2 linked regions of the Mus musculus genome follow. The protein of the gene in region 1 interacts with the protein of each later gene in a biochemical or structural test. Links are inferred from orthologs where the notes say so. Each region holds a gene or a part of one and is shown in the gene's direction. Other genes may lie near its edges.

Region 1 (3,595 bases):
GCGTATGCTTGGTATTCCCCACAGCTGTCCCTGAGAGGGCTCCCTCCTCTGCCCACAGCCTTCCAAGTCCTTTGGTGGAATCTTTCCATCCACCTCATAGGTCCTAGAGATCAAACTCAGTCAGGCTTTGCAATGAGTACCTTTAACCGCCTAGCCACCTCTCAAGTGGTATGCCAACTTCTTTTTTTTTTTTTTTAAAGATTTATTTATTTATTATATGTAAGTACACTGTAGCTGTCCTCAGATACTCCAGAAGAGGACATCAGATTTCGTTACAGATGGTTGTGAGCCACCATGTGGTTGCTGGGATTTGAACTCAGGACCTTCGGAAGAGCAGTCGGTGCTCTTAACCACTGAGCCATCTCACCAGCCCGGTATGCCAACTTCTATAGAGGTCTCGATTCCTCATGGTTGGCCGTGAGCATGCAGCGCTACAGCTTCAGTGTGGCAAAACACCCACTCCTGCAGTGACTCTCTGCAGGGACAGAGCTGGCTGCTGCACCTCTGCAGCTCCCCCACAGATGGCAGGAGACGCTACCAGCCTGGGAGAGGGTGGGGTGTACAGTGAGAAAGTGGGAAGGTGCTCCAAAAGCGGGGCGGGGGACATGCATAAAGAGGAACCAAGGCTCTGTGGGGGTGGCTCTCATCTGAGCAGCCTTGGTTTTAACCACTGCCCTCCTAGAGGCATCCCTGGCTGTCCTATAGGACCCAGGTGGCTTCTCGATAGAGAATAGCAGAGCCATGTGGGACCTAGCTTTGAAACCCAAGCAAGGTGGCCTGTGCCTATCATCCCAGGAAGGAAGGGGCGAGGCGAGAAGATGAGAAGTTCTAGGCCAACCTAGGCTACATAGGAAGACCTTGTCTCACAACACAATCAAGCTTCAGGCTGGGGCTATGGTTCAGTGGATAAAGTGGTCACTTAGCACACACCAGGTCCTGGGTTCTGTCCCTAGCACAGCAGCCATGTGTGGTGTGTACCAGTCACCTGGCACTCAGGAGGTGGATGCAGGGGGAGCGGAAGTTGGAGGCTAGCCCCCCCTCCTTCCCATTTCAGTTCAGGCCAATTGAGCTGCCTGCCTGTTCCTCTCGGTGTCCTGCCAACTCTCTGTCCATGGATTGCTGTCTTTGCTTTGGCTTGGAGCACAAAGCCCCTTTCACTTTCCCAGATGCGGTCCCAGCTTCCAGGAGAACGGCCACACACCAGCTGGCCCAAAAATGTACCATAGAGAAGTGAGAAGGGGATGGATTTTTTTCTTTTCCTTCAAAATACAGAATTTTACCAGGCATGATGGCACACACCTTTAATCCCAGTATCAGGAGACAGAGGCAGGCGGATGTCTATGAGTTTGAATCCAACCTGTGTTACATAGTGAGACCCTGTCTCAAAAACCAAACCAAACAAAAAGTCCTAGGATTTGATTTTTTTTTTTTTGTCTCTGAACGTCTCAGCGGCCTCTCAACTGATGGTGGTGCAGAGGCCACAGCTCCACAGCTGTGTTTCTGTGTCCCAGCCAGTCTGACCCCTGCTTTTTTTTTTTGTTTTTTTGGTTTTTCAAGACAGGGTTTCTCTGTATATCCCTGGCTGTGACCTGGAACTCACTCTGTAGACCAGGCTGGCCTCGAACTCAGAAATTTGCCTGCCTCTGAGACCCCTGCTTTTTGAAACAGCACATCAGTGACTTAGGAGGACTCTGATGTGGCTAGGCTATCTGGTGGCTCTAGGAGTTTATCCTCCAGTCTCCACCACCTGCTTTTCAATATATATACATACATATATATGTGTGTGTGTGTGTGTGTGTGTGTGTGTATAAAGACCAAATATATATACATATATGTATATATATGTGTGTGTGTGTGTGTGTGTGTATGTGTGTGTGCATATATATATATATATATATAGTCTTTTTCAAGACCGGGTTTCTCTGTAGCCCTGGCTGACCTGGAACTCACTTTGTAGCCCAGGCTGGCCTCAAACTCAGAAATCCACCTGCCTCTGCCTCCCAAGTGCTGGGGTTAAAGGCGTGAGCCACCACTGCCCAGCTGCTTTTCAATATTTTAAAATCTATTTCATTTTAATGATATGAGGTATGTATGCTTGTGCTAGGTACACACAGAGCAGCCAGAACACAACTTTTGGTAGTTGGTTCTCTCCTACCATGGGATCCACGGGTTGAACTTGGGTCATGAAGCTTGGCAGCAAGTACCTTGGTCTGCTCAGCCATTTTGCGGGCCCATCTTTGTTTTCTAGTTCTGTAGACCCGAGAATGAACCAGCTTCCAGATAGCCGCTCTACTACTGAGCCATACCATCAGCCCTCTTTTTTGCATTTTTTTCCGTGACAGGGTCTCCAGTAGCTTAGGTTGCCAGAGACTTGCAATCCTCCTGCCTTGCCTCAACTTCCTAACTGCCTGGCGCGTGGCGTTGTGTGGCGTGGGTAATGTGAGCAATCTCTCCCTCTGTCCCTGCAGCTCTGATTGCCACACCCCCGGAGGACTCGGACATGGCCTCACTGCAGCAGCAGCGACAGGAGCAGAACTACTTTGTCCGGTTGGGCTCTCTCTCTGAGAGGCTGCGCAATCACGCCTATGAACACTCCCTCGGCAAGCTGCAGAATGCCAGGCAGAAGGCACAGGAGACGCTGCAGCAGCTAACAAGTGTGCTCGGCCTGGTGAGCCTCCCCGTGTGGGTGTGGCCGTGGCTGGGGCCTCCTTCTTGCAGCTCAGCTCTTAAGTGAGCTGAGATCTCACCCAGTGGCAGGTGGGCTGGGCTGGTTCCCCTGGGCTGGCTTCCTCTACACCTTAGTGTATCAGTCAGCTCAGGCTGTGTAACAAAGTTCCTGAGTATGTAAGGCCTTTTTCTCTACCCGGCTGGATAGGGGTGCTGGTCGCTGCTGGGTCACTAGGCCAGTGAGAGCAGCTAAGACACATGCATAGTATTCCACCTTATTCATGTGAAGTCGATGTGGTGGGCAGTGGAGCAGGGTCTAACCTCAGCACTGCCCAAGGAGAAAAATAAAAGTGTGTGTCTCCTTGGTGTATGCCTCTCATTCAGGCAGAGACCAGCCTGGTCTACATAGTGAATTCCAGGCTAGCCAGAAAAGAAAAAACAATGAAAATGAAGAGCCCCCCATCCCTGCATTGTCCCGGCTGGAACCCAGTGTCTGGGATATGTTCTCCCTCTAATAGGGCCCCTTTCTCTGTGCTGTAGATGGAATCCGTGAAACAGGGTGTGGACCAGAGGCTGGGGGAGGGGCAGGAGAAGCTGCACCAGATGTGGCTCAGCTGGAACCAGAAGACCCCACAGGATGCTGAAAAGGACCCAGCTAAGCCAGAGGTACCTGCTGGGGCCCCCGGGATCCCCATATGAGTGTCCATGCCCTGTTCAGCATAACTCATGCTTCCTGTCCCCAGGGCAACCACAGAAACCATGACAGAATTCTATTTTGTTTTGGCTTTGGTTTTTAATTTTTGCATTTTTATTAGTATTACTGGGGTAAGGTGGTGGTTTTGGCTTGGCTTTTTTTTTTTTTTTTTTTTTTTGGTTTTTCGAGACAGGGTTTCTCTGTATATCCCTGGCTGTCCTAGAACTCACTTTG
Region 2 (4,354 bases), on another chromosome or scaffold:
ACCCCCAATGATCAACAACCACCCCTGCCTCTCTGCACATACCCTCTGAAAAGTTCTCAGAATTCCAAATACCACCACAGAAACTATCAAACATATTTGCCTTGTGCTCTAGCAGGGACTAGCAAAAACCACGTCCCCTGTCAGAGCACAAGGCAAATATCATAGCCAGCTGTTGTGGACAATCTGAAGCAGCCCCAAATCCCACACCTGGGATCAAAATGGAAATATGTTCTTAAAATTGTTTTCTGTGTTAAAGAAGCCAAAATTCCAAAATTCTCACTACAGACCATCACAGAAAACCATGACAGGACACGGTGCAGAGATCAGCAGGTGGTGAGGGGCCTAGCCACAGTGGCTACCTCTACATCACAGCTCCTGCATCTATGACTCAGGACACATAAAAAAAGAGGGGGGCTGGAAAAACCGTAAGAGCTGCAATACCAGGATGTCTGGTGTGAAACAGTCTCATAGAAATGGTGGCAAAAACAAGATCTAAACAATGGCGATATCAATATGCTAACAGAGAAGTGAGGCTATGCCATACAAAGTGATCATCCTTGAAATCATGTACATACAAACATAAACAGATTCAGCAGGTTGTAGTGTATCTATGCAAATATTTGTAACTATAACAATTAAAGAAGATGAGACCATCAGTCTGAGTGGGGGACATGGGGAGAGCTGGGTGAAGGGGCCTTCGAAAGAAATGGAAGAAGGAAAAAGTCAGAAGAAGGGGAAGTAATTATACTTTAATTAAAATGTATTAAAACTTTTAAGTTAACTTTTTTAAAAAGTATAGGACACTACGGTGTTAGCAGTTTAAGCACAGTTCTACCTCTGACATGAATCCCTATCTAAGCAGAGTGAGGGAGGTGCATGCAAAAGCACGTGAGAGTAAAAGGGGCATGAGCAGCTAAAGCCAAAAGAAACTTCAGAGGAAGAAATGAGTAACCTGGAGAGCGAATCCAGGAAGCCGCAATTGTTTCAAACCAAGCTCTAAGAACAACTAGGGCTTGAGAAGTGGATAATAAATCCAAGGAGTCTTCAAATGACCTTACCAAAGGCACAAAGACACGGGTCCCCCCAAACTGAAGTACAGGCTAGAGGGCCGGCACACATAGGGCAGGCGCCTTTGATATATGCCTTTGACAGTATGCTTATCTAGCAAGATGCCACAATAGGAAAATTCATTGCCCAGGTAACAGTAACAATAGTTATGTCCCGAAAGAATTAGAAAATTCTGAACAAAGAAAATCAAGACAGGCAGGACCTATAACATTCCACTGTCTGGGTAGCAGAGTCAACTGCAAACCAGAAGCGAGCCCAGCCGACTGATGGCTAAACAGCGCCTCACAGAGGCCACCAAGGTAGCAGAAGAGTCCTAGAAACTACAACTCCCAGAGAGCTTCGGGCGAGGGAACTACAACTCCCAGCAAGCCCAAGGAGCGACACTCTTTGTAGTTCCACAGATCGCCCTCACGTACTGTCTTCAGACCTATTGGGACACCTGGCGCATGACCCCGCGTGGATGAGGAGCGCCCGCCCAGAGTCCCTGGAGGCGGAGCTCGAACCTCATTGGTAGAAAGGCGACCCGAAAAGAAGAAACTGATCTTGACAATCTCCGAGTGATTGGAGTTGATGGGACCGGGGAACAGCGAACTAGGCTGCTGACCAATCAGCGTCCAAAAGAGAGACCAGGGAACCAAGGTTCTGCGGTCACACGCCGCGGAGTCTAGTGGGAGGAGCAGTTGCTCAGCAGGCTCTCGCTGCTTCCTGTTTCCGGCTTCTGGAGCGGGGCGCATTGAGGCGCCTAGGGAAGCGCTGGCTTCAGAGAGGAATCGAGGGACTGGGGTCTGCGCCCCCGCACCCCTGATCTCCGGACGCGTCTTCCAACCTCAGAGACACATTCTTGGGGGCTTCTGAGCCGCGGTTGCTCTGTTTTCCCGTGACACGTGAGTGTTGGGGGCGTGGAGGAAGCGGGCTGGGGTCCTCGCACACCTCTGTACTGAAGGAGGTGCGGACCAGGACTCTCGCTTGGCCGTGGTTCTGGCTGGAGATCCTGCTAGGGAGCCCTAGGGAGGACTTGAGGCAAAAGGCATGAGAACGGAGAACGCCAGACTTCTAGGAGTGAGGAAGAGGAGTTCCAAGATCAGAGAGGGATTTGAGATGTTTTGAAGGTTGGAAAAGGAAAGTGCTCATGTGTGAAGTGTTAACTGGATTCTTGTAGAGAGAATTTTGACCTGTATCGTGGGAGTAAAGTGGCGTCATGGCGTCATTTGGGGGTAAGGTATGACTTTGAGTAGATAGAAGGCGAGAATTTCCAGACTCCTGGAAGAAGTTCGAGGAAGGTCTGTTAGCATGGTGTGGAAAAGAGTGACAAGAGTGTCTTGTGTTTCTGTGGAGACTTTGAAGCACAGAACTACCTCCTTGGGGCACTTTAAACATTGGGCCTTTCTGCCAGTTGAGACTGATCTTAAACGTGTTGGCTGCAATGAACCAGGAGGAAGAAAATAAAGCCCTCCATTAGAAAATGGAAAACGGCCATGAGTGGAAAAATGCGTGCAGGGCTGAATGAGGTCAGCAGTTTCCCAACCCCTAACTTAGTCACTCGGCGTCCTATAGAGAATGTTTCAGCATTGCCACTAGATCTGTCTCTATAGAATAAGAAAGGGGAATTCTCAAGAGCCTAAGATCCTGTTTTACAGCGTCTGAGAGTTATAAGTGCTTGCACTCTGGGGATCTCTTTGGACCATGCTAAATAGGAACTGCCCAGCTTTCAGTTTTATCCTGCTCTCTATTTGGGCCTGTATTTATCAGAAGTTTGACCACAAATGCCTTCATGGCATTAAGTCATCCAGGTTGATTTAATATTTGTGTAGCCTAGGACAAGTAACTCAGTGAGCAACTCTAAGCGTCAGACCCCTCATCTTTTCTAGGCTGTGTAACTAACACAATGCAGGCATAGCATTTCAAACATACACCACACTGAATCAAGGAGAAGCAGCTCAAAATTAGACTCAAATCTTAAGCTGGGAGAAGTGTAAAGTTATTCTTCTACTAACTTTTTGAACGTTTAAGCAAATGACAAACAGTTCCACTCATCCAGTGCCTACCGTGGCTTGTTTTAATTTTTTCATCCTGTCCCAATTTTGTGAAATTCTTTGCCCTAATTTGGGAAGAGAAAGCAGCAACAGTTAACAAATGAGGAAATAACTTGGAGGCCAGAGTGCACAGCATTCATTCTGTGAGAGCATCCCTCCAGGATATGTCCTGGGGAGCAAGCGCCTCAGAGCCCAGAATGTTACTTTTTTTAAATTAAATCCTGAGAGAACTTGCAGAAAATGGCACCGAGTAGGTTAACAGAGGAGCTCTAGGTGAGGTGACCGGTTGAGCAATAGCTGAGCTCAGGGGAGGGGAGAGCTTAAACCTGGGCTCCTTGTTACAGTTAACTTCCAACTTCCTGGTCTGTTTTAAAAAGGAGAAAGGCAGCTCTGGGTTGGCTCCCTTCTGGATAGATGACTCTGGAGCCATCCATCTTACTCCATTAGCTGTGTCAGTGGCATTTGTTCTGTTTGTCCTGTAATTTTTACTTGTGAAACAGAGACCGTTAAGTTTAATACATGGTTTGGAGAGGATTGACTAGTTAATGTCTGGTAGCATTTCAGAGAGTGCCTGGCTGAAGGCTGTCCCTCTGCTGCACATGTTCTGTAATGTCCTATCTGAGATGAGTTAGGAGTGCCTTTGACCTCTTGGCTACGTGTGATTACTGGGTGGAAATAAATGCCTTGTAAATGTTTGTATTGGTGAGTTGATGTGGGGGGCGGGGGAGTATGGGTAAGTGTGTTACCCTCCCTGCATATGGGAAATGGAAACTCAGATGTACCTTTCAGGGAGAAAGGGAAATGAATTTAGAGCACAGGGTTAGAGCTTTCACTCTCTTGTGGAGAATGTCTGGAAGAGTTAACTGTCAAAAAAAGAGTAAAACCATTATAAAATAAACAATGTCAATGGCCTGAAGGGTTACTAATAGATACTAGTAGAAGCCTTGTGCAAGCATCAGTCACTATGGCCTAACTATGAAGGTAGCCAGCTTTTCAACATTGAAATAGAACATTGTCATCCACGAATATGTTGGGCTGCATTCACAGGTATCAGGGGATATATGTGTCCAATGGGCCATAGTTTGGATGGGCCTGTTAGAATAATACAAACAGAAAGTGAACTCAGAACTTTAGAGTGTAAAAAGACAGCCATCTTACTGAAAGTTTAGCTGGCCTTAAGATTTGTGACTTGAAGGGGCGAGGTAGATTTAGGAAGACTTCTGGTCACTCCTTTTGACCCAGTGAGTTTTCTT

Evidence for each region. The genes of interacting proteins can lie anywhere in the genome.
Region 2: the proteins of Plin3 (region 1) and M6pr form a complex in vitro, tested with the Homo sapiens proteins (2 studies listed by BioGRID). The link is inferred for Mus musculus from reciprocal best matches to the Homo sapiens genes PLIN3 and M6PR.

What each region holds. Positions count from the first base shown.
Region 1 is NC_000083.6:56,280,480-56,284,074, reverse strand, and holds part of Plin3 (perilipin-3), read left to right. Parts: intron 1-2,468; coding exon 2,469-2,668; intron 2,669-3,207; coding exon 3,208-3,333; intron 3,334-3,595. UniProt on the Homo sapiens protein: Structural component of lipid droplets, which is required for the formation and maintenance of lipid storage droplets. Required for the transport of mannose 6-phosphate receptors (MPR) from endosomes to the trans-Golgi network.
Region 2 is NC_000072.6:122,307,215-122,311,568, forward strand, and holds the start of M6pr (cation-dependent mannose-6-phosphate receptor precursor), read left to right. Parts: upstream 1-1,505; 5' UTR 1,506-1,952; intron 1,953-4,354. UniProt on the Homo sapiens protein: Transport of phosphorylated lysosomal enzymes from the Golgi complex and the cell surface to lysosomes.